7 linked regions of the Danio rerio genome follow. Each later gene encodes a partner of the first gene's protein in a complex. Links are inferred from orthologs where the notes say so. Each region holds a gene or a part of one and is shown in the gene's direction. Other genes may lie near its edges.

Region 1 (3,795 bases):
AACTACCCCAATACAATGGTCACTGTTCTGTTCCCATGCTCCCTTGACGAATACATTCAGTCCAGATGTGCAGTGACTGTTAAGGCAGTGCAACAACTGAGCAAGACATTCACAAAGAATGCATCTTAGTGTTTAAAAACACGACACATTAGCACTCACTAAAGTTCTTCTGATTGGTCCACTGCTCTAAATCTGACAGCATGTGTGACAAATAAGCGCTACCTCGGGTAACTCAAATTCGTTTTATCGTCACACTGCTTCAAAGCAGCCGATGCTGCAAAAAAACTCCACTAATACGGTCACTTATGTCCGTAAACAATGAAAATATAAGATACAGTCTCATCATGTGAGCTTGTAAGTCAGTCTTTAAGTAATGCGTGACTTCTCTATACACACATAGTATTGAACATCTGTAACTGCTTTATGGATGTACACAGTGCTGCATTTTCCTTAAACGAGATTTCACTTTTGAAGTTTACTGAATCTTACCTTTAATACATAATTATTGTTTTTCCTGAATTTGATTTGTAAATTATACATTTCTTATTAGTTTCCTAATTATAAAGGTTTATACTTATACTAATTCTAAAAATACATTTATTTTGTACTTTTGCATCACAAGAAGCTCTTCAGTTCTGTAGCTGTTTATGCCAAATACTTCTGCCTGTTTAAAATAAACAGAAAAGACACAAACTGGAAATTTGTTATTACTTTTTGTTGTAACATACACTCCTACCCCCAAAAACCAAGGGACATACTGAACCTTGACTCCAGTGTACCGTTACACTATGTAGTCTTTATGAAATCCGTTTAAGTTTTTACTAAATTCTATTTTTCCTAATGTTTTTTTTAATAAACATATTTTAGTAACCAAAAAGCAAAGTTAATTGAAATTTTGATTTGTTTTTATTTAAAAAGTTTAATATAGAACACTTTTTGACTTTTAGCTAACCAATGAAATAGGTTTTACTTTTTTTTCTTCTAACGTTCCATTTTATTTCTGTTAAAATTAATACCTGCTTTAAAAAAGTAAGCATTTCTTTAAAATAGTTATTATTAGGATTGCTGCTTTGAGAAGTACATTCAACTACAAAAATAATTTATTTCTGTCATCATTTATTTAAGAAAAACCAAAATTGTATTTAGTTTTGTGGCTGATTTATCACTGCCACTTCTCCACACCACACTGAAGAGGTGTACAGCAGAACTTTGGATTTATTCATCAACAATTTCCAAATCAGTGACATCATCTTTTTACTAAACTATTTCCAATTTATTCACTGAATTGCCCTATTCCATCATCTTCCATCATTTGGGACATTCCATCAATGTCCCAAATTAAAGGACAAAACCTACTTAATCTGTTTTATCTGTTCAGGCTAATATCCATTACAGAGAGTTCAGTTTAATTCAGGTGTTTATTATTATTATTCTTAGTTTTCTTTGTTTTCTTCTTTACACAGATTGAGAAACGTTCTTTCAGTACTTGGTCCTGATGCCTTAAAGAAATCCAAGAAAGAGGATGAAAAAGCAAAACGCACTCATGAAGAGGTAGGAGCATCTGCTTTAGTAGATGTTTCACTTTATTATAGACTAATTTATTTGTATAAAAAACGTAAGGTGATTGTATATGCATATTTTGTGCAGTATCAACAGACATGGTACCATGAAGGACCTACATCTCTGAAGGAAGCGCGTTTGTGGTTAGCCAAGTATTCACTGCCTAGGTAAACTCTGAAACTGTTTTCCATCAGCAGTATAAATATTATTATAATAATTTAAAATTTGGAATTGTTGTTTTGTTTTGCAGAGCTGTGAAACGTTTAGACGCAGCAAGAGCCCAAAAAGAAATTCCAGAATCTACACGAACAATTAAACAGCAAGAGCTTCACAAGAACTTGCGGGTACGACAGCATGTCAAAAAAATGAAAAAAAAAATCTATATTTGTCTTGTCACTGCTGTGTATAAATTTGTTTTTATAAATGTAATTTGTTTTATTTAGAATGTAAATAACTTCTGCAGCCAGATCGGAGACGACCGTCCAATATCTTACTGCCAGTTTAGCCCCAACTCAAAGCTGCTTGTGACGGCATCATGGTATGTGCTGTATATCAGTTTTGTATTTAATTTAGTACATTATTATAAAAATTCTGTATTATTTATCTAAATTTTGGGGCTAAAAATAAGGACTTCAAAAATGCTTAATTGCTGCTTTAATACAGCAGAACAAAGAGAATATAGTTAGTATTTTTTTTTCTCAGAAGGAAAATTTGTATTGGAAATACTGTGGGAATTTTCCTTGCCCTGCTCTTGCCTATACATGTACGTTTAAAAAAAAAAAATTCTAGCAACTTAAATGTGAAAATTTTTTTTTTCATTTTGTTAATTAACTAAACGTTATTTGTTTTTAAAGACTTTTAGGTTTGGTTTGATTAAAACAAACTAGTACTATTGCTCCATTGGTGCAATTAATTTAAAAAGGCTTGAATGCTTCCCGTTGAACACTGTCCTGTGCCAAACTAGTGGATCAACATTAACTTTTTCAGCACATCTAAAAGAACACTGACCAAATATGTCTAATAGAGATGTGCGGTTTAGCTGAAATGACACCAGAATCCACAGCTTCATACTAATCATCCACCCGCCTGCACATATACTTTTACCTGATATATGTATCTGGACCCGACTCGCACCCAGTCTTCAATTAAATAATTTATTTCTTTGTTTTAGGCATGATGATAGGTCAACAAGGATATTAACAGCAGATTCAGTGAGCTAATCTGCGCATCTCTGATAGTAAAATAATATGTTAATCTTAAACGTTTTTAAATGAACATTTATTTATGAAAACAAAAGTTTGTCTTTTAGACAACATTTTCCTCATTTTTTTAAAAAAGATACAGAAAGTAAAAATAAGACATTTTAGCTTTTACAGATACAGGAACAAGATAACAAAAAGGGTGTCACTTCAGCCTAAACGACGGCTATGTTATGTTTACTTATCTACTATGCCTGGATTTGGGCGATTCCGCCTCACCTTCAAAACCAACACAGAGCAAGCGTTTGCTCGCAGATATAAAACACAAAATGCCACCATGAAAAGGACATAATAATAAAGCAGCTTTTACCTCGCATAGTTTGCCTAATTTTAATACTGGCATTAGAAATGAGTCTTAATTAAACCTCAATGCAGCACACAGCATTGTTTTGTATGTTTCTTGCTGTTGTTGGTTTTTTTTGTATATCTTCGGTTCAGTATTAAAATACGAATAGAAATGTGAATGCTAAAACATGGCTAAATGTATCATTTTGCACCAAACAAACAGAGCTGAACTTGTATTTATAAGACATTTCTGTTGTAGGTCGGGCTTGTGTAAATTGTGGAAGGTCCCCGATTGTACTCTTATACGCACATTAAGAGGTAAATACAGCAAATATATTCTGTAATGTTTATTCATCAAGTTGTCTGTTTGTGTTCTAGTTTTTGAGGAGCAGCTTGTAGCGTTGTATTAATCGTTGGTGAACCCTTCCTCTTCAGGTCACAATACCAATGTGGGAGCGATTAGCTTTCACCCACAAGCCACACTAACACTTGAGGAGTCAGATGTCAATATGGCCTCTTGTGCTGCAGATGGATCTGTTAAGCTGTGGAGTTTAGACAGGTGTGTATCTTTTAGGATTATGTAAATCTGTTATCTGAAGGAAAACTGTAACATTCACCTGTTTTTTTAATAGTGATGAACCTATAGCAGACATTGAGGGACACTCTATGAGGGTGGCTCGGGTGACCTGGC
Region 2 (4,297 bases), on another chromosome or scaffold:
TCAGCTTTTACTTCTTGATGCTTTAGGACCCATCCCATGCTTGAATGTCTCAGTAGTCCTTCAGCGTTAGAAGGAATGGTAGGCTATAAAATATTTTCTCAGCTTACACAGTCGATCTACATAACTGAATAGCAACACAGGCACAGGTTACTGCATCTATTTTTTAATATATATATATATATATATATATATATATATATATATATATATATATATATATATATATATATATATATATATATATATATATTTAACTGACTGTCACACATTCTCAGCATTTGCTTTTAGTTGAATTTCAAGTGCAGCAAGCTAAACTTGTTATTTATTTCTTAAAGAAATATTATAATAATTTACTGTCATGTTGTGTGACATGCAAAAGAAAATATTTAGAAAATTTTAATATTCAGAAAGTTTTTGTTTCCAATTTTTATTTGTGCTCTAGACCCAGGCCTTTGCAGAAATGTTAAACTTTTTAAAATTTATAATGGGTTTAAAATTCATTTAAAAAAAATAATCTTAATTTTTTTTCCACTTTTCTCATTTTTTTTCAGTGTGGTCAGTTTGACCTCAAACACCATAAGTTTTTTTTTTCTTTTTTTTTTTTACACATATAAAGCAACCAAATCAAGTCCAGTTGTGACTGTTTTGTTAAAGGTTGGACTGATGTGACCCCAACATTGCCTAATTGATAAAGTTGCAATTTCATATGCAAAATTGCATATAAATAAACACCAAATAGCCTACTCTTGATAACAATGCAATCCAGATGATCAGCCTCACAACTTTCACTATACAACTAAATTGTCTAATTTTCCTTTGCAGGAAATGTGAGATGGGCTTTCCCAGATATGAAAATGCGGAATTTAAAGGAAGCAGGAGGAGATGTGTTTCAAATCTAACAGGGAGGGGGAATAGTACTTCCATACTCACAAACACAAGCTTTTTTCAGGAATGTCTGTGCGATCACTGATCCATCAATGTAGAAAAGGGATGAAAAATTATAATTTTCGTAATTTAAAAAAAATAAATAAATAAATAATTGCACAGTGACATCCGGGAAAACTCCCGATCATAGCCTATGTGTATATCTTTGGCTTTGGATGGTCACAGCTTGCATTCATTTCAAAGGAGCGGTTCCCTGTACTAACATGGTGGATCTATTGACGCATTCCTTCCAATAGACAACAACAGGGTAGGCGACATCTAACGTATATATCTATGTCTAACAGGAAGCAGATGCATTTTCCGTCTAATGATTTGTTCGCGAGAGAAACGGAAAATGCATTCTGGGTAGATTTGAAAGATGGCGGACGACGCTGAGCAGGTTTGCAATTTTTGCTTTGTATAAATATTTCGTTAGCTGTTTGATTATCGCGGAGGTTAATCGTATTAATTGTGTTTATTTTTAACTAGTTGAACACACGGGTAGCCTATGCTAAAGCAGCTTGTAACTACGACGATTGTTTGCATGGACATTTTCATTCAAATAAAATACATCACTGAAATTTACTTTACAGCAACAGACCACCAACACCGTAGAAGAGCCTCTGGATCTGATTCGGCTCAGTCTGGATGAGAGGATCTATGTAAAGATGAGGAATGACAGAGAACTGCGTGGCAGACTGCATGTGAGGGGAATACTACATTACATACTCTAAGTTAGTTATACTGCACGTGAGGGAAATGCCACATAATATACTGCATACGAGGGGAAAATACTACATTAAATACACGTTTCTACTGTACGTTATTGGAAAAAATACAACCTTAAGCATATTATATAACGTTATACTAAACCTGATTCAAAATACTACATTAACCATTATATAATGTTACATAAAGTTAGTTACATTGCACGTGCAAGAAAATACTAAGTTACATTGTGTATATATAAGTTACACTAATTATACTGCACGTGAGGGAACATACTACATTAAACATTATACAGTTATACTGCACGTGAGGGAAAATACTACATTAAACATATTATAGACTCTAGTTAATCTGCATGTGAGGGAAAATGCTGCATTAAACATTATTAAATTGCACTTGAGGTAAAGTACTTTTATAGATATATTGTTAGCCTTCACGTGAGGGAAAATTCTAAATTAAACATTAAATATTATAGTTAGACTGCATGTGCGGGAGAAATACTACTTTAGTATATACTCTAGTTCACTGGTTCCCAACCTTTTTTTGCCTGAGACCCCCTTTTTCCCTGGAAAATATTGTTAGGCCCCCCTCCACATTTAATGATATAATCGCTCATATAAGTTTGCACTAATAATGACAAAAAATATTGTTTCAAACAAAGCAAAGGTAGATCTCCAGGAACAGGATTGGCCACCCCTGCTCTAGTTAGACTGCGCTTGAGAGAAAAAACTAAATTAAACAGATTATACTCTAGTTATCCTGCACCTGAGGCAAACATTAGGCATATTATATTTATCATTATTATATTTATGTTCATTCATTCATTTTCTAGTCGGCTTAGTCCCTTTATTAATCCGGGGTCGCCACAGCGGAATGAACCGCCAACTTATCCAGCAAGTTTTTAGACAGCAGATGCATTTCCAGCCGCAACCCATCTCTGGGAATACTATTTATATATATATATATATATATATATATATATATATATATATATATATATATATATATATATATATATATACTAATTAAACTACAACTGCACATGAGGGAAAATACTTATATAAATATTATATACTCTAGTTATACTGCATGTGAGGGAAAATACTACATTGTAGTTATTATATACTCTATTTATACTGCACATGAGAGAAACTACCACATTGTACATATTATATACTCTAGTTCAGTGGTTCTCAAACTGTGGTACGTGTACCACTAGTGGTACGCAGGCTTCCTTCTAGTGGTACGTGGAGGAATAAAATATGTCATGTACATGCTACACACATTTCAAAATTGATAAAAATGATGTATATAATGTCATATGACATATAGCCTATATTTCTCATGTAATCTGCCACGTTTTTTTAACTGTGCAGAGTTGTAGCTGCTTTACTGGGCCTACAAGGCTATTGTATCTCAATACTGCTCATTTTGGTGGTACTTGGAGAGACAATTTTTTTCTGAGGTGGTACTTGATGAAAAACGTTTGAGAACCACTGCTCTAGTTATTCTGCCCTTGAGGGAAAATACTACATTTTATACAGACTCAAGTTCAATTATGTCTCTAAATGTATTATGTTCTGTTATTAAAGTCACATGAATTTGGTCTGTGGATTTTTTGGAGAAAATAAAGGATAAAAACATGTAAAAGTGAATTGATAAAATCTATTAAAATGTAATAATCAAATGTTTTATCCTAATAATTGACTACACGCATTAGTGTAGTATGTAAAGTGTTTAGTAAAAGAAAGGAAACATACAGAGGATTAAAATAATATTTATATTGTAATTGTATTTAGATCTAAAATACAAGTCTAAACTAATAGTCTACAGCAGTTCTAATGTGTTATTTTAACAGTACGTATGTATATATGAACAGTATATTGAAAAATCTGTTTGATTTTAATAACAAATCACAGAGATAAGGGATCAGAAAAATGTAAATGTTTTGTATTTTACAGAGGTAAATAAACTTATGGATGACCAAAAATGTACTGAATACAACTTCCTTTGTGTGAATTAAACAGCACAACCAAAAAGGATAAATGTTGACATAAATATACTTTTATTATTTTAATATTCATTTCTTTAAATATTTATTTTCTTTTATTTACCATATTTGCATTAACAGGGCTCGAAATTGCGACTATTTTGGTCGCATATGCGCCCGAAATTTTATCTATGCGACCTTAAAATATATTTGGGAGCATTTCTGCGAGAGCTTAAAATTGTTGTGTGCAACCAGTTTGTCTGCTCTTTGTCTGCAAAAATGCAGCGCTCGGGAATGGTTTAAAACAGTTATCATGTCAACTTGTTGCAGTAAACAAATCCAAGTCCGTAATGCTTGCCCTGCCTTTGCGCTCTTCTTATTGGCCCACCACTGCTCTAGCACTGAATGCGAATGATTGGTTAATATCAGCTGTTAATCACTCAGTCGCCTTCTGGCTTCGGACGACAGAGAGGGCTACTACCGCGAAAATTGTAAAGCGCTGAAGATGAGAAAGATAACCCTGACAGATTTTGTTTTAGAAACCATGGCATCTAAAGTTATAAATAATGACACATCATACTAGTGATCATGTGCTGAATGTTAATCCACCATCTACACTTTTCCAAGAGTGGAAGACTTCCATTGGCTTCAAGT
Region 3 (4,369 bases), on another chromosome or scaffold:
CCTGGTGCAGTGCAATCTGAGTTGCATACAATACTTTTTAATAGCCCCATCTAACCCCACCCCTAACCCTACCCATCACAGTGACGTCACTTGCTCCATTTGAGTGCATTGTGTCTGACACTGTATCGCTGATTGATGCAATCTTAGCTTGCATCATAAAGGCTGCATATTGGCTATGCCAGCTTTATACCAAATCTGGGCCAGAATTCCTTGTTACCTGGGTATTGATGTTTCAAGTCTGAATACAACCTTAGGCCTATAATGATTTTTTTTTACTCTGGAAGTGGAACAGTTACAGTATTGTCAAGTTTTACAAAAAATGGAAACCTATTGTGGAAGTGTACTGTGTTCTGTGTTTTGGTTTCCGATTTGGTCCGTCATTCCATCAGAGAGGAGATACTGGGAGATGGAAAAATTAATCAAGCTATAATCAAGCTATAAAACTCCAAATTACCGTGACAAATTACTGTGACATACAGTTTGGTAGCCTATATGATGCAACATTTTGACTGACTGACATGCCCTTTAAAAGAAAAAACTTGGGTAACACTGCTCTAATGTTACAGCCACAGGCTGTACAAAAAGCCAAGCCCCTCTCATGCTATCGATGTAAACAAAGTAGTAATCTGTTCAGATTCATCTTCAGCCTTAGTTAGTATAGCAAACTCAAAATCAGATAGAGAGGATTTAATAACAGAAATCTATTTATCTTTATATAGATTAAAGGAAATAGGAGTAGTCGTTTATTTCTGCTGGGTTCCATCACATATTGGGGTATCTGGTAATGAAGTTGCTGACAAATTAGCAAAGGAAGCACTAAATAAGCAAGAGGAAGTAAATGTACCTCTGGGGAAAAGAGAGGCAAAATCGATTTTAAAGGAAAAACTAATAAATAAATGGCAAATTAGATGGGATAATAGTAATACTGGAAGATGGCACTATAGTATTATACAGACAGTAGGGACAACACTAAATCAAGGAAGAAATAGGAAGGAAGAGGTGTGGTTATCAAGATTAAGATTGGGACACACAGGGTTAAATGCAACACTTGCGTTAATGGGTTTACATGAGGATGGGAAATGTGATGTATGTGGTGTAACTGAAAATGTGGATTATGCACTATTTATATGTAGCAAATATAATAAACATCGCAATATGTTATTCAGTCAGTGTGGGGAAGATAAAACAATATATAAAATTATTCTAGGAAAAGGTATAATAGATTGGCAAGTATATAGAGCGTTTATTAGGTATATAGAGTATTCGGATTTAGGTTATTATAGTCTTATATTTATGGATGAGAGTATTCTCAATCATTGTCATAAAGGCCCTTTATGTTAGAGGAGCTGAACACGCAGTGCTGACATGAGTATGTGGTCTAGATGCAAAGATTGGACAATATGAAACATCCAAGGTGTTTTTTTCCCCCCTTTCCCTCCCTCCTCGTTTCTTTTTGTTGCCCTTTCATCGGAGTAAGATTCGGTACAGTAGGTGGCGATAATGCTTTTAATTGTTAGTCGCCATAAAACAGAAAGAAGAAGAAGAAGAAGATGCTATCGATGTGTGCTGATATCGATTATCCATGCTTGTAATTGGCTTCCGGTCCCGATTATTCAGGTCTGTTATCAAAATGGCGGCAATCACAGCAACGAATCCTTCGCAGCTTTTACCACTCGGTTTGTTTCACTTTCTTTAAAATTGCTTATCATTTACTGACATAACTTTTGTGTTTTTGTACGGGGCAGAGATGCCAATCAGTCACGTTCGTAACTCACTTTGCTTTTTTATCTAATTGAATACACCTGTGCACAAAAGATGTGGCCCTAATCATGTCAATGTGTTTTTATTTTAACTTAAATATTTAATTTCACAAATTTATACATCAATGTGTGATTGATTATATATAAACGGAAGCCAGTTCATTTAGTTAGTGTGGGCGAAAAAAATAAATCACTAATATGTTTCCCTCTGTTGGAGTTTAAAATATTGTAATTATGACTTGGGAACACATTTATCATTAACAATTTCCATTAAGATGTATTTATAAGTAAGATACTCTGAAAATAAAATTTTATGTATGAGTTACGACATTAGAGATACCGTGTCAAATGATTAAAAGCCACTCCACTCTTTACTCGCAGGATTTTTTTGTTGTTGAGTCAAATAAGCCTAAAATTAGTACTTTAAAGAATGAATTTGGTATTAACATATTACTCAATCCCACACCTAGTGTTAAAGCCAAAGAAATTTTAAATTTTATTAAACGTGGTTCGTTAAAAACTTACCTTGGCTGTATAGTTGTTGAAGTAACGTTTAACATAAATTGAATTTCTTTACAAGGTTTTACAGTTGTATATCACACTGACCACTCAAAATGTTTCCTTTAACAGCCAATGATGTGACTGTGTTTATGATGGGGATTGTGTGCTGTCTTTCAGAGCTGGTGGATAAGTGCATTGGCTCTCGGATTCACATCGTTATGAAGAACGATAAAGAGATTGTGGGAACTCTGCTTGGGTTTGACGACTTTGTCAGTATCCTTTACCTACTGGCGGTAAAAAAATAAACAAAACACTGTCAAATATTTGTGATGTTTACAATTTAGTTTTGGATTCAACTTTTTTTTTTTTTTTTTTTTTATAAATACTGCTAGCTAAAGATATAGTTACACATAAGATTTCCCTTTATTTCCCTTAGTCCGTTTATTAATCTGGGGTCGCCACAGCGGAATGACTCGCCAACTTATTTAGCATATGTTTTACGCAGCGGTTGCTCTTCCAGGGTGGAAAATGGCATAACGGCAGCAATGGTTACTGAACAACAACGTTGTGGAATCAGTCTGCCTAAAGAATGTTCATTAGCCTGTGCTTTAGTTTTAGCATTTTAATATAAGAAAATGTCCAACAAAAGAACTCTATCATATTTACAGACTCCAAATCATGCCTCCAAGTGATGGAATCTTCAGAAAATGATCATCCTTTGATTAATGATATTATAACTAAAGTTCACCATTTACAAAACCATTTTTTTTCATATTTTTTTTTTTTTTTTTTTGCTGGGTTCCGGGACATGTTGGGCTTTCAGGAAACGAGCGAGCTTGATCCAGCAGCTAAGGATGCTTTGAAATAAGTTGTGAACGAATGCCAAATTCCTCTTTTAGAGATGAAATCTTTTATCAACGTTTACTTTTTAAATAAGTGGCAAGAGGAGTAGGATGCATTGAGAAATAATAAACTGTATGAAATACAACCTGAAATCTCAAACTGAATTTTTAGTCATTTTAAGACTAAATTTGATTTAGTGATTTTTACTAGATGTTGTATTGGACATGCAAGAATGATCCATGCTTTTTTTTTTTGCTCAAATGTGAAGACCCTGCTCAATATTTGCACATCACACTTTCTTTTACAGTAAAACAGATTTTACTGGATTGTCCTGCTTTTAACAATTCCAGAAGGCTTTTTTTTTTTTTTTATCAAATGATGTCTCTTCAGGACATTTTTAGCAAAATGACACCTGGAAAATAGTAAAAAAATTATAAAAAAATGTATTAGCATTTAAAGATGTATTTAATTTATGTATTCATTTGTTTTTGTTTTTTAATTGTATATTTATTATTGAAATGTTCTTGCCATGAAAATAGCCTTGCATTGCTGACATGGCATTAAATAAAAAAATACAATACACTACATCACATGTTGTCAACAGAGAAATGTAAATGTCTATGTAATGTTATCTTTGCGATGTTGTACATTTCCTTGATGCTTTACATCAGACATGGTCCTAGAGGATGTCACAGAATTGTAAGTATATTTCCTAAACAAAAATATTAAATATTTGCTTAATTGTCTTTGCACAGTGTATTCATGCATTCTCTTCTGCTTTGACTTAAAGGATAGTTCCCTCAAAAATTTTAATTGTCAACATTTACTCAACCTTCTATTGTTCTAAATGCTGTTCGAGTTTCAAACGATCAGTATCCTGTCTCCAAAATTTTAGGTGTTTGTTTTATTAGGATAAACTATCAATAAAAAAAGCACTTTCGTTCTAGAGATTAACTAAAGCTCAAGTTTTATACCATTAGACTATTTATACTGTATTCTAATTATTCTATAAACTATACTGCATAGAGAAGGCATTTTCTAATCTTTTTAGAAACTTTTTTTAAAGTATGCTTAGTTAGAAGTTCAATGGTATTAGCAAATTTTTATCACTATTGAAACCGTTTAATATTTTGTGACATTATTATTAAAGAATAATTCCAAGTATTATCATTGATTAAAAAAAAAAAAAAATCAATTGAATGTGAAGTGTACTTGAATGTGAAGTGTACACTCATGTATTCAAGATGCAAGGAAAATTGGATTAT
Region 4 (4,268 bases), on another chromosome or scaffold:
TTTAAAAAATTCTACAAAATATTTTTAAATAGGAACATGATATTTGTTGGCAAACCTTTCATTAATAAGCCCATTTGATCAGTCCCTTCACCATTAAACTGATTCTTTAATACTCAGTGTAAAAACATGATTTCTGAAACTTTCAAAAAATTATCTTTTTTTGCAAATAAACTTTTCATATATTATATCATGTTCCTTCTGTATAACCTGTCAGAAGTTTTTAATTATTAAATGTGCGTTTCTCATGTTGTCACTTTTACATGTTTAGGCATACAGTACATCTTTCTTTTTCATTAACAGTACAGTGCATCTGCAGATCAACTACTGGCATTTGAAACAGCATCGGAATCGCCACTCATTTATTCATTCATTGTCTTTTCGGCTTAGTCCCTTTTGTAGGACTTATTGTAGGACTTATTGTTATGTTGTTTGTTTCAGTGACAAACATTTAGCATCAAAGTATTTTACAATATTTTAAACTACAAAAATAAAAGACATTAATGTATTTTTAATACAAAACATTAAGCCATTTCCATCAACCCTATCATAAATACTGCCCATCCCTGCTTATATTCATTCTAGGTAATTTTCAGAATGCTTGCTTTTAAAAACAGGAGAATGCATATTAAAGCATAATGTTATAAGAAGGCTCTATATGTTTAGGAACATTTATCTTTAAATTATAGAGAATCCAAAATCCATTTTTATTTTCAGAAATGTTGAAAACTTGTAAGCACTGACATTCATAGTATTTGTTTGTCATACTATTAAAGTCAATGGTTACAGGTTCCCAACGTTCTTCAAAATATGGAAAGATCAAGATGGTTTTAAACAAGTAAATTGATTAAATTGGCTGAATTTACATTTTTTGGATGCACATAAATACATAATCGTGAAAAACATTATAATCATTAGCATGTCGTGGAGGTTTTGTTTTGTTTTACAATATAGCGTTTTGTAAGTGGACTGCTTTTTTGTTTTATAAATGGGGATAACGCAGAGGATTAACCTGAGCCCTGGACTGTGCTTTATTATTATTTGTCTCCATCTGCTGACGAAAGAGGGAATTGCCAGAAAAGAGGAGCCATGTACGTGTATCAGCAAGCTCTGTGTCAGACATGTCATGTACCTCTTCGGGCATAAAGTTGACTGTTTTAAGAAAATATTTCACATCCATTGAACATGCGCCTTTTAATCTCTTTTGTGTGATGAACGATTGCGGAATAATTTACTGAGATGAGTACAAATGACGCAAAAACAGAACAAAACGCCAACAATTTCGCGACCAATGGGATTTTTACGTCTTCATTCTTCTAGCCAATAGAAGCACAGAGTGAAAGACCCGGCAGCTTTTTGATGACGTATGTGATCTAAAGCACAAAGCCGCGTGAAAATGGTAAGTGTTGTTATTTAGCAATATCATACAGTAATTTACGTTTAAGGAATTAATAAACGTGCTACGACCATTTGTTTAACATATTTAGGTTTTTTTGACCACTGTGTTCGCGAGAAAGACAAACAATGCTTCATGCTAACAGCTAACGCTAGCTTTCTTCATAGCCAAATAAAACAACATTCTCAAGCAAGGATTATCCCCTTAATTAAATGCCCAACAGAAACAACTCTGGCTGACTCCTATTATATTAAAGTCTTGGTATTTCATTTGCCTGCGTAATTTAGAAAGCAGTGTTATTTGCTGTTGACATTTCTCATTTGGTCTGTTGATAAAACTTGATTCAATCGTTTTATCGATGTCTTATTTGCTGTCCGCCTCATATTTTGAGAGTAATTCCTTCAAATGTTTATTCTCAGCTCTTCTACTCGTTTTTCAAGTCTTTGGTTGGCAAAGATGTTGTGGTGGAGCTCAAGAATGACTTGAGGTGAGTGCTCACCTTTCTTTTACAAATATTATATATATAATTAGAAATTGAATATACATATTTTATAATGTATGTGCCAGCTCGTAAAACTATGAACACATCTATTTTGCAGCATATGTGGAACATTACATTCAGTTGATCAGGTACGGAAACTGACTCCACACGTTTATTAATATAAACAAATATTGGGCGATTTAGGATTAAGTTAATCTTGTCATTTGTTCTTCCCTCACAGTACCTGAACATCAAACTGACAGATATCAGTGTTACTGATCCAGAGAAATATCCGCACATGGTGAGAAATGGATGAAATGAAAATTACACTCATAATCTTGGGTCTAATATCTTTATCAATGTCATGGAATTTTAAAAGGTTCATTTCAGACATTGAAATTTAGGAAATGTTGATATATTTTTGTCAGATTCATGGAATAACAGGGATTTTTTGTTTGTTACTTTACATTTTAGCTTTTCTTTATTAAAATATATTTGATATTTACAGCCATGCAAACCGCAAGTATTTTTTTTTTATATTAAGTAAATTATCATTTGTTGTTCTCATAGTGGCTATTAAATGAATGTAATAAAATGGCTAAAACCATTTCAATATATTTTTAATTTAATATTACAATTTTTTATAAGCACTACAGAAGCCTGTTATGTTCATGTCATGGTTGATATATTGGTTTATGGTAAAAGTACAGAAATTAATACTATGAAAAATCTGAAAATAGCAAGTGTAGGACCAATTTATTTTAAAGAATATTCAAAATAAAATTTTTTTTTGAATACTAAGTCATCTTTATTTTTTGAAATATGCAATAAAATATTTTCAGATTCTCATATAACATTGCTTTGGTTTTATTGTCAAAAAAACTAACTAGAAAGCAAGTGTAGAATTGCAACAGGATTTTTTTTTGTAAACCAACAATGCTGTGTAGTGAAAACCATTATTTAAAACGGTGAAAATACGGTCAACCATTTGATAGAGCAGGCAGCTAAAGGGTTAAAGAGGGAACCCTGATAATTGAATTGATTCCTAAATTAATGTAGATCAGGTTATTAAGTCTGTGATTTATGAATTGTCATAGTGATGTAGGTGCTCAACAAGGAGAACTTTGGTGTATATAGATGACTCTAATATTGTTTTGTTGTAGTTGTCTGTGAAGAACTGCTTCATTCGTGGATCAGTGGTGCGATACGTTCAGCTTCCTGCAGATGAAGTGGACACACAGCTACTACAGGATGCTGCACGCAAAGAAGCTACACAACAGAAACAATAATGTTTATATTTGAGAATAGTTTGGTTTTGTTCCAATGTTCAGAAGCATCATCTGTGGAGTTTTGTTGATTTAAATGTTTTTCTTACCTAAAACATGTAAAGTTTTTTTTTTCTCTTTCATTTTTACGTCATGTGAAGCCTGTTATTGAGGGTGTGATTTACTGTTTTTTTTTTTTTACTTCACAAGTTAGTGGTTGTGTGCTTTTAATGAGTGTTGGTAAAGTTCTGTACTGCATACCAATGACTTTTAGTTAGGTTCACACATTGATGCAAAAATAAAGTATTTTCCTCTGTTTTCACACTTTCCTTTTGGTGGAAAAAATCGTCCATTGTTGGAGTTCAGCTGACAGCATTTTACAAATTATGTTCGTGGAATGCTGGTGTTTTGGTTTAGGCAGGCATGTCCAAACTCGGTCCTGTAGGGCTGGTGTCCTGCAAAGTTTAGTTCCATACCCAATCAGACACACCAGGGCTAGCTAATCAAGCTCTTACTAAAAACATAATTGCAGATGTGTTGAGGCAGGTTGGAGCTAAAATCTCCAGGACACCGGCCCTCCAAGATTGAGTTTGGACACCCTTGGGTTAAGGTGAATGGATAGTTTAGCAGAGGTGTCAAACTCAATTCCTGGAGTGCTGCAGCCCTGCACAGTTCAGTTCCAAGTGTATTGGAGCAGGGTTGGGTTTCAAAGAAGCCCGAAAGATTTAATTACTTTAATCTGGTTGTGCTTACTTAAACTGAACTAAACAGTGCAGAGCTGCAGCCCCCCCAGGAACTGAATTTGACACCTGTAGTTTACAGCCTAGTCCCAAACAAAAAAGTAAGTTGTTTAGAGTAAAAGAAACTCGTAGTTACTGTTCCTAAAATATACCAGTGCCTTTGTTTTGTGTTTTTTAGGCACTTTTATGCGCTAATAAAGTAATCATGGCTTTATCAAAGCGAATGTAGACCACACTACAAAAATATGTTTAGGTGTTTTAGTTCAAAATAAATTGTCATCTACATTTCTATAAGTCAAATGACAAATATGTTAAGTTAAACTGATTAACTTAAAAAAGGAAAGTAATGAAAACATTTGTTGTCGTTTTTACAATGTATGTAATTTATT
Region 5 (4,583 bases), on another chromosome or scaffold:
TGAATCTTTATCTTGACTGGTGGACTGCTCTATGATTAGGTGTGTAAAACAAATCTGTGTAGATGGTATAATTACGTTAAAATCTCATTTATTACACCATCACCATTCAAAATATGATTTACGCTTCTGTAAAAACGTTTCACTTGGTTAAACTTACAAACTCAAGTTCAGCAGCTGCCTTGAAAATGTGAGTCAACTCAACTTGGAGAGATTCTTAAGATGTTGAGTTTTACAATATATTTAACTAAAACTCAACATCTTACATTGAAACAAAGAATCTCTCTAAGTTGTTGCCTCACATTTTCAAGGCAGCTGCTGAACTTGAGTTTGTAAGTTTAACCAATGTGAAACGTTTTACAGTGTGGGCAATTATTGAGGGCCCCCAAATTTCTTGGGGTCCTAAGCGGTTGCTTGCTTCATCTTTCAGATGAGAAGTTAAACCCAGGTCTTGATTCTCTGTGGTCAATAAAAATCCCATGGCACTTCTCGTAAAGAGTAGGGGTGTAACCCTAGTGTCCTGGCCATATTCCCTCCATTGGCCCTTACCCATCATGGCCTGGCCTCCCAATCATCCCCATCCACCGAATTGGCTCTATCACTGTCTCTCCACCAATACCTGGTGTGTGGTGTCCGCACTGGCACTGTGGTCCTGTGGCTGCCGTCGCATCATCAAGTGATGCTGCACACTGGTGGTGGTGTGGAGAGACCCCCCTCATGATTGTGAACCGCTTTTGGTGTAAGATCTATAATATAAATACACATTACATTACATCATTGGTTAGGTCAGTCCCTGATTCTGATGTAATAGCAACGTAATTCCAGAACCACCATACAATTCCATCAAATTTATTAAACATTCAGTACCTTACGAATATTAACAAGTTTTAATTATTTTTTCCATGCTAGTGTGTAGCAAAACACCGTATAACAACTATTTTTAACCACTACAGCACTTTTATATAGTTCAATCAGCATTAATTCCCATAATGGCGATGTACAATTACAATTAGCGTCTGAAATCATCCCACAACCATTGATTGTACTTTTGTGTAAGTGCCGTCGTCATCATTACCACCAGTGTTTCCATCGACCCCCACTTTGACCCTCAAACAGTTAGCCTTTTCAGCAAGAACTGATTATAATCTCTAAAGTTACTCGTTAGAAACAGTATTGTGCTCTCTTCCTTAGAAACCAGAAATCTCCAGAGCGCGTCATCTGCTGGACAAATACCGCATCACTCCCTCACGACGGCTAAACTTCACATTAATTTGTTTAAACTATAAAATTAACTTCATTAGCACTGTCCATTTGTGGTCTATTTTTAACAGTTTTGATTGATGTAAACGTGTGTAATTGTAAGAAATCTATTTAATTATTTATACGCTTATTTTTATGTACGTGTGTTTGTTTTGCTTCTTAATTAATGTTTAATTATTTGTACTCTTACTATATTTATCTTCTATCATCCCTGGCATTAAAATGTGTGTTCTATTGTCGCGTACTAGTTATTTAAAGCTTATTAAATAAATACTAATTCACTCATGACAGCTTTCGTTGCTCCAACTCCATTAGTTCTGCCTGAAGTTGTGCTCAATCGGTCATCGCCTACTCGAGTCTCTCCGTTATCGCTTCCGGCTCAAGAACGAATGCTTTTCGTTGTAGGAGCTAGCGAACGAGCACCGGAGGATTTAAAAACACGCACCAGCAGAAAAGATGTCCACCGCTCTCGAGAGTTACATTCACCGTATCCTTTAATACGCATCGTGAACAGCACGGCGGTGATGTTGTTGATCGATACCCCGTGTTTTGTTGTTGATTGTGTGTGTTTGAGCGTGAAATGTCTAACTTTATATATATGGCGCGCCAGCAAGTGAATTAGCTTTTGATGATCATACGTCGTTATAATTCACGTTATAGCATATTAATGTACGCACATACATTTCTTGAGCAAAATAGATCAGTTCAAGATGATTATCGGTTATCTGGATGTGATATTAACTTCATAGATGCCTGTTTTTTGTCAAATATTTGAGTTTTTTTTTCTGGACCAATGAAAACGAGTCTTCAAATATTTAATTAAGACATATCATATAACTGGAATATTACTATTTACTGTAAATATTACATATTAATGTGTTCACATCTTGCATATCGGGTAGAAATAAGTATATTTGACTGTTTGTATTCATGTTAATCTATATAGATATAATTTATGTATGTAAAACAATCTAGAAAAGTAAAAAAAAAAATTTACATTTTGGATATAAGTATATTTGACCGTTTGCATTCATGTTAATCTATAAATACATATAATCTAATTTATAAATGCAAAACAATCTACAAAGGTTTTAATTTCTGAAATATTTCGTAAAAATAAGTATATTTGATTATTTTTATTTATGTTAATCTATTTATAGATGTAATCCATATATGTAAAACAATGTAGAAAAGTTTTTATTTCTTAAATTTTGCATAAAATTAAGTATATTTGACCATTTGCATTTATGTTAGTCTACATATAGATGCAATCCAACAATCTAAAAAAAGTTTTCATTTGTTCAATTTTAGTTAAAAGTAATTATATATGACCCTTTGTATTTATGTTAATCTATATATAAATATAATCTATGTAAAACAACCTAGAAACGTTTTAATTTCTTAAAATTGCGGTAAAAATAAGTTTATTTGACTGTTTGAATTTGTTAATCTATAGATAAAATACATATATGTAAAACAATCTAGAAAACTTTTCTTAATTTTTGGTTAAAAGTAAGCATATTTGACTGTTTTTATTCATGTTAATCTATAAATAAATATAATTTAGAAATGTAAAACAATCTAGAAACATTTTCATTTCTTAAATATTTCGTAAAAAATAAGTATATTTGATTGTTCGTATTCATGTTAATCTGTATATAAATATAATCTATATATGTAAAACAATCTAGAAAAGTTTTAATTTCTTGACCATGACCATTTGTATTCATGTAGATAGATAGATAGATAGATAGATAGATAGATAGATAGATAGATAGATAGATAGATAGATAGATAGATAGATAGATAGATAGATAGAGAATATGAATCAGTCAATGAATAAAATACTTAATAGAGATTTTGAACACACATTATGTGTACTATATAAACACAAATCCAGAGAACAAATAAACGCAGTGAGTGACCATGCATACATAAAATGAGCTTGAAATTTCCTTGACTGTGATTTTTTTCAAGGGACTGTTGCTATTGTCACTTCGGATGGCAGAATGATCGTGGTGAGTCTTCCTCGTGTACTTTAAAGGGAGTTATCCACCTTTGTGTTTAATAAAGTGCAAGTCAAAGACACTTTGGGAGTGTTTGACTGTATTAGGAAAATCTAAACATTATCACTTGTAACTCACAGCTCCGACACATATTTTTCATTTGTATTTTTGTTTTGTTTAAATGTCTTTTATGTTTAACTGAGGAGAAAAGTCCCCTAGATTGTGAATAGCCTGAGTGTGAATAAATTAATATTAAAATCTGTGTTTTTTGGTGAACTTACCAATTAATCATTGTCTGTGTGCAGAAATGAAGAAGATCGCTTACTGACTTGTGCTGTTTTTAGGGGACGCTAAAAGGCTTTGATCAGGCAATCAACCTCATCCTGGATGAAAGCCACGAGCGGGTCTTCAGCTCTTCACAGGGGGTCGAGCAGGTGGTTCTGGGACTGTATATTGTCAGAGGAGATAATGTGTGAGTATTAAACTCCTTTCTTGTAATTATGTTTATGTTGTGCAGAACAGTGCAAGGTTTATGATTTTTTTCTTTTATTTGGTTGACATAAATGGGAAATTATTTTGTGTTTAAGGGCTGTGATCGGTGAGATTGATGAAGAAACCGATTCTGCGCTGGATCTTGGAAACATAAGAGCAGAACCACTCAATTCTGTGGTGCATTGATGGACAGAAAATTTCATTTTGATCCAGTTGAAAACTTTCCCTAGGAAATCTGCAGGCATCTATAAGCAGCAATATTACCTGCTTTTTTAATCTTGAAAAAGACTGAATGCATATTTGTTTTTTGTTTGTTTTGTTTTTTACGGGTGTTGAAATAATAAAACAAAAAGTGATAAATCAAGATTTTAAATTTTTTAAAAACTTGTATAAAGGGGAAAATATTGGTAAGTATCCATTTTCTGGATAATTCTCAGTCAAAAACAAAAAAAGTAATAAATTAACAGTAAAAGTAAGATTAGGTCCATCTCCAAAATGCCTATTTTATCACCCAAAAGTCAAAAGAAATTTCCGTATTACATGAAGAAATTGAAAAGCATTTAAAGCCCATTTTGTTTTATTGCATTCATGACGATTTAGCTTATTTCCCACAAAGAAAAGCTCATTGCAGTATCGTAAAAATGACGAAAAAAGACATTAATATAAGTGTATATTATTATAAATAATTTGTAACAGTTATTTAAATGTAGTAATTGTATATAATAATGTGCAATATTGTATTATAACATAATCATGTATTTAAAAATAAACACACACACACACACACATATATATATATATATATATATATATATATATATAATAAAT
Region 6 (3,795 bases), about 12 Mb from region 1:
TTTACCCCTTTGACATCAACAACAGGTGGTCATAATCACGAAAAGTGGGCGTGTCCAGCTCTGTTTAGGGGGGAGTGTCGAAGGAAGTAAAGAGGCATGGTGTGAGATTGTCTATTTGGGCGCGCTGACTTACAGAGTCAAAACACACACACACACACACACACACACACACACACACACAGGGGACAAAGTGACTGTGTTTACATGGACATCTGTAGTCGAATTATTTGCCAAATTATTAAATGGTGGACTTTAACTGCAGTTTGGCTCTTTCATTCAGGGAATTCATTCATGTCCCTCGTGACAAACGAGATATTTGATTCGAGGAGCTGCTCTAAGCTGGTATTTTTCATGCAATGTTTGATACCGCACGGCGAATGAGAGAAAAAAAAACCTCCGCATTTCCCGGAAACTTAGATGCACACGGCAGGTAGCGTCAGAAAGCCGCGTGTGTTATTCCGGTCACTAAATGCGGTGAAAATCCTACACGAGGTTAAAGTTTGGTTGTGGTGCTAACATGTTTACACTCGGTGCAATAGTTACCGTTAGTTCGATACGAACAAACTGAATAAACAAATAGCACTGGTCGCTCACTTACCAAATCTGTAGAGACAGGACAATCCACAGCAACTAGAGCCGCGTCTTTATTAAGAGGAGACTACAAGCGAATCCGGATCTCAGCGTTTGCAGATGAGAACAGCTCTCATGTAAACAATAATCCTCCTTAGACACGTAAGTTATTGTTGTCGAGCGTCGCGTACACTGTTAATCCACACGTGACTCCAGCTGCGCTCTCACAGAGAGAAAATGAAAACAAAACTTAACAGCAGCAAACTATAAAAGCAACACTTCACGCTTGTTTTGCCAACACAACGTGGCGTCTCTGTCGTCTAAACACTGTGACAGTAATGAATATTAATGAAGTTGCACAATAGAGCGCGCTGATTGGTTTGAACCAAGCCTTACTCATGCATTAATGCATCACACTGTAAGACGTAATAAGACTCACTCTGGCACAGACGTCCAGTCTGCACGCTGGAATACAGGCTATTATGTCATGACCGTGACGCAGCTTCAAAAATTAGTTTCAAACCGGAAGTACGAATTTGCTTGAAATAACGCAAAAACAACCAATTTACAGTTTTTAGTGAAATATAGGTGTCCTAATAGTGTTTTTAGCAGTGTGGGACACATAGACGTCTGTCAACAGCTCAAAAAATGTGTTTTGGTGTTTCTTGACCCTTTAAAAACTTGCTAAGGTCAGTATTATTGGCCCTCTTAATAACTTATTATTTTTTCCAAATTGGCTACAGAACAAACCTCTCTTGTCTAATGACCTACAGAATTAAATTCTTTAAATTGCTCTCCAAGCTAAATACGAAAGCAAAATAGCTAGAAAAATATTATGTACTGTCATCAGTGTGTCGAAAAGAACTCTCCTTTAACCATCACTTGTGAACTTTTCAAAAAAATTATAAAAATTGCACAGGAGGGCTAATAATTTGGCCTTCAGCTCTTTGCCAAATGGGATAAGTCATTCATTCATGTGAGTAATTGTTTTCTTTCTGTCAGCCTCCAGAGGAGAAAGAAGCTCTTCTGCTGAAGGAGGAGTATCAGGAGGAGATGTCGGAGTCCACCTTCCTCTACCTGACCCTGGATCTGCCCACCGCACCGCTTTACAAAGACGAGAAGGAGCAGCTCATCATTCCTCAGGTCCCGCTCTTCAACATCCTGGGAAAGTTCAATGGGAACACAGAGAAGGTGCAATTTTTTGCAAATTGTCTGTTTGTTTTTCTTGCTTGTTTGTCAGTCATGGTGTTCACAGAAGTGTCTTAAATTCCATAGTATAAAGATAAGACCTTAATTAATCTTAAAGCGTCTTAAATCTGCTTTTCAAAGGTCTTAAAAATGCAATTGAATCGATCTGACCCCATAAAGAAGATTTTGTTTTTATTTTTATTTATCATATTCATTCATTCATTTTCTTGTCGGCTTAGTCCCTTTATTAATCCGGAGTCACCACAGCGGAATGAACCACTAACTTATCCAGCACATGTTTTAAGCAGCGGATGCCCTTCCAGCTGCAACCCATTTCTGGGAAACATCCACACACACTCATTCACACTCATACACTACGGACAATTTAGCCTACCCAATTCACCTGTACCGCATGTCTTTGGACTGTGGGGGAAACCGGAGCACCCAGAGGAAACCCACGCGAATGCAGGGAGAACATGCAAACTCCACAGAAACCCCAACTGACCCAGCCGAGGCTCGAACCAGCAACCTTCTTTCTGCTTGGCGACAGCACTACCTACTGCGCCACTGCATCGCTAATTTATCAATTTTATATTACTTTTATCAAAATTTTACTCTATAGCAGCTGTGTCAACCTATGGATTAGCAAATAAAGAGCTAGAGATGCATCAATCAGTTGACCAGGGACTGGAACTGGATGGTTTTTGTCATGACCGGCCCGAATGGTGATTGCCGCTGCACCTCAATTATTATTATTAGTTTCTCTACTAATTTTTTTTGACTATTCTATATGTAAAAAGAGTGTTAAGGATGGTAATTAGCTGTGTTGTTTGTTTTTTTGGTACTATAAAAAATGTAACTTTACAGTTGGTCTTAAACTTCATTCTGCGTGGTATTAAAAAGGTCTTAAATATAAATCTTAATATAAACCTGCAGATACCCTGGCAAATGATTTGGAAATTATATTTGCTGTTCAGTCATTTTAATTTCTATGTTCTCGGTGGTTTAAATGAGGTTTTTACTTGTATTTGTTTGCTTTTTAAGGTCATTAAACTTTTAAATTGATTTCAAAATCCTGCAGATACCCTGGAAATATATAAAAATTATTTAGAAAATTTCCAAGCTTAATGGCAAGTACACACACACACAGTTGTATGTGTTTGTCAAAGCTGCATGGCAGTGCACATTAAAGGTCTGCAAGCACATTAAGTTTGTTTTTGAGTCCAGTTGGACTGGACTTGGTTCATTTATTAATTCTTTTATTGTTCATTCATTAATTTTCTTGTCGGCTTAGTCCCTTTATTAATCCGGGGTCGCCACAGCGGAATGAACCACTAACTCATCCAGCACGTTTTTACACAGCGGATGCCCTTCCAGCCGCAACCCTTCTTTGGGAAACATCCACACACAATCACTCACATACACTACGGACAATTTGTGACATGGTACAGGTTAATATACACTGCTGAATGGATATCTGTTATGTTAGTGTACAAAATAAACCCGGTTTAACGTCCACAAACTGGGATTGAAGCGTCTTTTATAATTGTTCTGACACGTGGCTGTGCTGATGAAGTGAATCTAAAGTGAATCGCTGTACTTCATTACACACATGCACTGTTTTAGAACATTTCAAACTTGTAAGACTCACTCTTGATCACGTTTGATGATGATTGATGATCCTAGCAAACTGGACAGACCTTTTGTTCACAATTGCTTTGCGCTTGTCCTGTCTTGTTGATATGATTTCTACGGAGACATGTTAATGCGCGCAGCTGTCAATCAATATTGGTGGGCGGGGGGACCGCACTCCTACATCAAGTTGCGGCCGATCTGAAAACCGCTCCAATTAGTCTACTATTTTTATGTTGTTAAATTAAAAAAAAAAAGGACTGGGTGTGTTTATATCACCCCAATATGACAGTATATACACTATACTTACACGCATGTCTATCCAAACAGCTTTAAAAGTAGATTTTTCACCATAGGTGCCCTTTAAGCACAAGTTTATGGGTTTGTAAACGAGAAGGTAAAAGT
Region 7 (4,491 bases), on another chromosome or scaffold:
TAGTGTTTTAAAATGAATGAATGCATAATAATCCTAATCTCGATTGAAATTGTGATTATTCCTCAGACTGTAATCGTACGATCAACATTTATAATCGTTGCATCCCTGCTCTCGATGTGCTTTTAGCTTTGATTTTTGTGCAAAATAACAAAAAATTAACATTACAAAAAACATGTTAGTGTCCATTTTAACCATACAAGAGTAAAATTCTTAAACCGTTTATTGCTATTATTATTTTTAATATTAAGAAATGCTTAAATGACATTATTTGATTTGAAATTTAGAAGAAAAAAAGAAATGTTTTCAAACATGTACAGACAAATACAAATATAGAGTTTTCAAGGGGTCTCTTTATTTTTTCCCATAGATAGATAGATAGTTAGATAGATATTTATAAAATTTTATATAAGTTTCATTTCAAAAAGTTTATATTTTTGAAATAAACACCAAACAGTATTAATATTTGACTCAGTGAAGAACCAATAAGAAATTTTTGTCCTGAGGTTGACTAAATCATCAGTAATTATTGACTTTAGCCTGTCTATCACTTTAACAACTGCAACATCTGAACATTATTATGAATTATAACCTCTTACCGTGGGTTTTCTTTGTCCTGTTCGCAAATGCACTGTTCAAGTAAGTCTATAAATTTTTGTGGGAATGATGTGAAGTCTATTAAAAGCCCTTGTTGTACTTTTAAGCTGTGAAGAAGAGCAAATAAAAACGATTACACAGAATATAATCACATAGAAGCCTAATAGCAAAGTGTTGAAAATAAATATGGCTCATTGATGAAATGACACTTTTAATACCACAATACCTTTGAAAATCCTCCTCTGATATGATAAGGTTGTATAAAAAGTAAAGATCAGTATCATCAGTCAGCCGTACAACTAAATCCTGTTGATCAAAAATTTAAAAAAAGTTATAAGACCACATAAAACATGCTTAAAGGCATAAATATGGTTGTACACATGTTAATAACAAACCTTTCTGTGAACAGGGCTGGATGGTAACTGCAGTTCAATGCTAACGCGAATAACCGAACGCCTGTAGTAACAAAAACAACATATATAAACACATATAGACCCTTACAGACTTCGAAATGTTAATAATTACAGACAAAATAAAGCCAAAATTCATACCATAAATCAATTTAAGTTAGGCATTGTGTTCAAAAACAAGACAATCAACACAAACCTCTCATCGGTATCTTTACTCTTCACCAGCACCTGCAACCGCTTGTTAAAAAGTAATTCCGTCATTCCTAATTCATTCACAAAGCAACGATAATAATTAAAAATCGTGTAATCCTGTTTTAAAGATGTTATTTAGGTTGTTGAAAGACTCATTTGTTTTTCGCGCTTCACTCCCGCGTTTGTCCGTTTCCAACCGGAAGTGAGAAACACTTCAACCTAATCACGCGTATCATCGTATTTCAACATGTTTTTGTTTTTATAAATCGTATAATATAGATATAAACATTTAAAGCTGTATATACTGTGTAGTTGTGCGTGAATAAAGCTGATAAAATTGAAAACATTTGATATCAGAGTTCACCTGCGCGCGTTGTGATTGGCCGAGAGGTAGACGTCAAACGTGAACCCGGAGTGGGCGGGGCGTAGAGGAGTTTTGAACATGGCGGTGAGTAGCGCAAACGTTTCCACACCGTTCACATTATAAACACTTTTAAGGACAAACGGCGTTATAAACAAACATATAAGCACCTGAATATATCCTACACTCTTGATATTTATGTTGTTACACATTAGGGTGTGCTGGTAATTGTAAATGTGATGTGTGGTGTATTTTTGTGCTAAGCTACGAGTCTGATATTTATTATAGAGGCCTGGAGATTGTTATATAATATGTTTTTGGATCCTCAGGACAAAGACAAGAAAAAGAAGGAGAGTATTTTTGATTTGTCGAAATACATCGACAAACATATACGTGTAAAGTTTCAAGGAGGTCGCGAAGGTGAGGGAGTTGCTTTATGAAATTAATTATGAATTTAAATGTTTCACATTATGATATTTAAATGAATTGTGGTAAATTTGACACTAGTGTTTCCTATTTTCAGCAAGTGGCGTCTTAAAAGGCTTCGACCCGTTGTTGAATCTTGTGTTGGACGGCACCATTGAATACATGCGAGGTAAAATGTGCTAATGTAAACCGAATATGTACCAAATTATGTTCTGCATTAAATTTCTCACAGTATTAATGTTAGTGTGGTTTGTTTTGAACAAATTTTAGTGTAAATGCTGCAATTTAAATTATAAAATTAATCAATTTATTAAATTATAAATTATATAAAGCAACATACAAACTCTTGTGGGTTGACTGATATATAAATGCATCTAAATCAACCCAAAGAGGACATGATGCCATGATATTAAACATAAAAAGGCAGAATGCTCCAGCATAGCTATTTTTGTCAGCATAACAATGTTGCTCCTTACCGTTCAGTTCAGGCATCAGAAACAGTCTCAGCAGATCTTCATTTGGGTGTGTGTGAGCCAGAGGAAATTCTGGTGTTGGTTTGACACATTTAATATGGTTTTCTGAGAGAGTTTAAATGCACTTGAAGTTAAATAGTTCACCCTAAAAAAATGAATACTGTCATTGTTAGGCATGGGCTGGTATAAGATTCTGACGGTTGATAACCTTAGGTTGAAATATCACAGTTACACAATATCATGTTATTGTACATACTGCTCCAAAATATTTTATTTTTAAATGTCTGAGTAAAAAAAAAACTTTTCCCCCATTGAACATGGTTTATATTTTTTAACATTTAAAATATTTTGAAACTATAATGTCAGGCTAAATAATTTATTGTTTATTAATTGTTGAATGTCATTGACTTCTGCTGTCTTAATTAGTTTCAAAAGCACAGATTTCTTTTCAACTTGAAAAGGCATCTTTGGATATCTTTCTTTTCTTTGGATATAAAAAAAATCATCTACACTGTTCAGCTCTACAGCATGCTGGATGTTGGTTTATAAGAGATTTGTTTTTCAGATGTTTCCTGAATCATGGTAACTTGTGATGTGGATGGTCCTTTTCTATTGTTGCCCAAAAAAACTCAATAAAATAGTCGTAAAAAAAAAACTTACAAATACCTTGAGAACGGTATAACAGACAATTTTAACGTTTTTAAAACCTTGACTTTTCAAACCGCGATAAACCTTAAAACAGTTATTGTCCCACGCCTAGTCATTGAATACTCACCCTTTATATGTTTCAAACCTTTTTGAGTTTCTTTCTTCTGTTAAACACAAAAGAAGATATTTTGAAAAATGCTGAAATCTAGTAGTGAAACGGTTAGTTTTCGGATAAACTATAACTAAAAAAAAAACAACAACAGGTAAATAGAAAAACACAGATTGAGAAAGCTGAGACACATATTCCTGAATGTGATAATATGCACCGAAATGTGTCGGGGGACCTGAAAATGTAATGAACCCGACCCTCTGCTTCCTGTTTAGAGGTGGTGGTGTTGTCAAAGAGCTGAGTGTTTTACTTTAACGTCCTAGTTGTATGATTCCCTGGTGTTTGGATAATTTTAGCTTTAAATGCTGACAACACCACTGTCTCTAAAAAGAAAGCTGCCCCAAAGGTCCCCCAAAACATTTCTATGTGCATATTTTGGAAGTTGCATTCACGTTACTAAACTAATGACGATTAATTCTCAGTTTGTAAGTGTTTTTCTATTTGCATGTTTACACTGCATTTGTCCTCTCTAGGGCACCGTATTTAACTGATTAAAAAATGTGTGCATGCACATACAGCAAACAAGTGTATCTAAACATACAGAATTGTTTTGAAAATTTAAAGTCACAGAATCCACCGCGGTGACTGAAGCTCTGCACATGACTTTTGGTCAGCGGAGAAATTAAAATGGTCGTGCCCAACTGAGTCTGGTTCTCTCAAGGTTTTTTTTCTTCACTCCTATCAGGTGAAGTTTTTTTCCCCTCTCCGCTGTCGCCACTGGCTCGCATGGTTCAGGATTGGTAGAGCTACGCATTGATGAATTTGCTCTTCAGTGTTTGAACTCTCAGTAATGATTTTAAATCACACTGAACTGAGCTAAACTGAACTGAACTGAACTTAAACACTAAAATCTGAACTACACTGTTCCGGTTACTATGACCATTAATGTGAAGCTGCTTTGACACAATCTACATTGTAAAAGCGCTATACAAATAAAGCTGAATAAGCTGAATTGAATGTCATAAATGCAGCTGCTTTTCTGTCAAAAATCAGAGTATGAAAGCTTGACAAACTAGGACTATGTATAATTTTTTTGTTTGGTCCAAACAAACTGACTAAACTACAAGTGTTAACACATCCGAAAATACGAAAAAACCCCGCCCTAAGAGTAAAGACATCTGTGTTTGACTATTATCATTATATCAATGGTTTTATATGATTTCTGACCACATTTATTTCCCACACAGATCCTGATGACCAGTATAAACTGACCGAAGA

What was found.
Region 2: prpf4 (region 1) and lsm3 share a complex: the UniProt entries of both Homo sapiens proteins name them as parts of the precatalytic spliceosome. The link is inferred for Danio rerio from reciprocal best matches to the Homo sapiens genes PRPF4 and LSM3.
Region 3: prpf4 (region 1) and lsm5 share a complex: the UniProt entries of both Homo sapiens proteins name them as parts of the precatalytic spliceosome. The link is inferred for Danio rerio from reciprocal best matches to the Homo sapiens genes PRPF4 and LSM5.
Region 4: prpf4 (region 1) and smx5 share a complex: the UniProt entries of both Homo sapiens proteins name them as parts of the precatalytic spliceosome. The link is inferred for Danio rerio from reciprocal best matches to the Homo sapiens genes PRPF4 and LSM2.
Region 5: prpf4 (region 1) and lsm8 share a complex: the UniProt entries of both Homo sapiens proteins name them as parts of the precatalytic spliceosome. The link is inferred for Danio rerio from reciprocal best matches to the Homo sapiens genes PRPF4 and LSM8.
Region 6: prpf4 (region 1) and usp39 share a complex: the UniProt entries of both Homo sapiens proteins name them as parts of the U4/U6-U5 tri-snRNP complex. The link is inferred for Danio rerio from reciprocal best matches to the Homo sapiens genes PRPF4 and USP39.
Region 7: prpf4 (region 1) and lsm7 share a complex: the UniProt entries of both Homo sapiens proteins name them as parts of the precatalytic spliceosome. The link is inferred for Danio rerio from reciprocal best matches to the Homo sapiens genes PRPF4 and LSM7.

Annotation. Positions count from the first base shown.
Region 1 is NC_133180.1:62,706,080-62,709,874, forward strand, and holds part of prpf4 (U4/U6 small nuclear ribonucleoprotein Prp4), read left to right. Parts: intron 1-1,463; coding exon 1,464-1,551; intron 1,552-1,647; coding exon 1,648-1,727; intron 1,728-1,810; coding exon 1,811-1,904; intron 1,905-2,003; coding exon 2,004-2,098; intron 2,099-3,363; coding exon 3,364-3,422; intron 3,423-3,539; coding exon 3,540-3,663; intron 3,664-3,736; coding exon 3,737-3,795. UniProt on the Homo sapiens protein: Plays a role in pre-mRNA splicing as component of the U4/U6-U5 tri-snRNP complex that is involved in spliceosome assembly, and as component of the precatalytic spliceosome (spliceosome B complex).
Region 2 is NC_133197.1:33,572,178-33,576,474, reverse strand, and holds the start of lsm3 (U6 snRNA-associated Sm-like protein LSm3), read left to right. Parts: upstream 1-1,240; 5' UTR 1,241-1,303; coding exon 1,304-1,324; intron 1,325-1,517; coding exon 1,518-1,628; intron 1,629-4,297. UniProt on the Homo sapiens protein: Plays a role in pre-mRNA splicing as component of the U4/U6-U5 tri-snRNP complex that is involved in spliceosome assembly, and as component of the precatalytic spliceosome (spliceosome B complex).
Region 3 is NC_133187.1:13,906,727-13,911,095, reverse strand, and holds the start of lsm5 (U6 snRNA-associated Sm-like protein LSm5), read left to right. Parts: upstream 1-1,548; 5' UTR 1,549-1,630; coding exon 1,631-1,676; intron 1,677-2,438; coding exon 2,439-2,534; intron 2,535-3,775; coding exon 3,776-3,803; intron 3,804-4,369. UniProt on the Homo sapiens protein: Plays a role in pre-mRNA splicing as component of the U4/U6-U5 tri-snRNP complex that is involved in spliceosome assembly, and as component of the precatalytic spliceosome (spliceosome B complex).
Region 4 is NC_133181.1:30,702,593-30,706,860, forward strand, and holds smx5 (smx5), read left to right. Parts: upstream 1-1,317; 5' UTR 1,318-1,393; coding exon 1,394-1,396; intron 1,397-1,812; coding exon 1,813-1,880; intron 1,881-1,992; coding exon 1,993-2,023; intron 2,024-2,115; coding exon 2,116-2,175; intron 2,176-3,037; coding exon 3,038-3,163; 3' UTR 3,164-4,098; downstream 4,099-4,268. UniProt on the Homo sapiens protein: Plays a role in pre-mRNA splicing as component of the U4/U6-U5 tri-snRNP complex that is involved in spliceosome assembly, and as component of the precatalytic spliceosome (spliceosome B complex).
Region 5 is NC_133179.1:10,099,410-10,103,992, forward strand, and holds lsm8 (LSM8 homolog, U6 small nuclear RNA associated), read left to right. Parts: upstream 1-1,553; 5' UTR 1,554-1,713; coding exon 1,714-1,744; intron 1,745-3,234; coding exon 3,235-3,275; intron 3,276-3,607; coding exon 3,608-3,735; intron 3,736-3,850; coding exon 3,851-3,941; 3' UTR 3,942-4,116; downstream 4,117-4,583. UniProt on the Homo sapiens protein: Plays a role in pre-mRNA splicing as component of the U4/U6-U5 tri-snRNP complex that is involved in spliceosome assembly, and as component of the precatalytic spliceosome (spliceosome B complex).
Region 6 is NC_133180.1:74,861,201-74,864,995, forward strand, and holds part of usp39 (ubiquitin carboxyl-terminal hydrolase 39), read left to right. Parts: intron 1-1,572; coding exon 1,573-1,761; intron 1,762-3,795.
Region 7 is NC_133197.1:10,400,783-10,405,273, forward strand, and holds the start of lsm7 (U6 snRNA-associated Sm-like protein LSm7), read left to right. Parts: upstream 1-1,623; 5' UTR 1,624-1,638; coding exon 1,639-1,644; intron 1,645-1,886; coding exon 1,887-1,977; intron 1,978-2,080; coding exon 2,081-2,152; intron 2,153-4,460; coding exon 4,461-4,491. Other genes in the region: sass6 (spindle assembly abnormal protein 6 homolog), read right to left, coding at 597-701, 821-900, 990-1,050, 1,201-1,265. UniProt on the Homo sapiens protein: Plays a role in pre-mRNA splicing as component of the U4/U6-U5 tri-snRNP complex that is involved in spliceosome assembly, and as component of the precatalytic spliceosome (spliceosome B complex).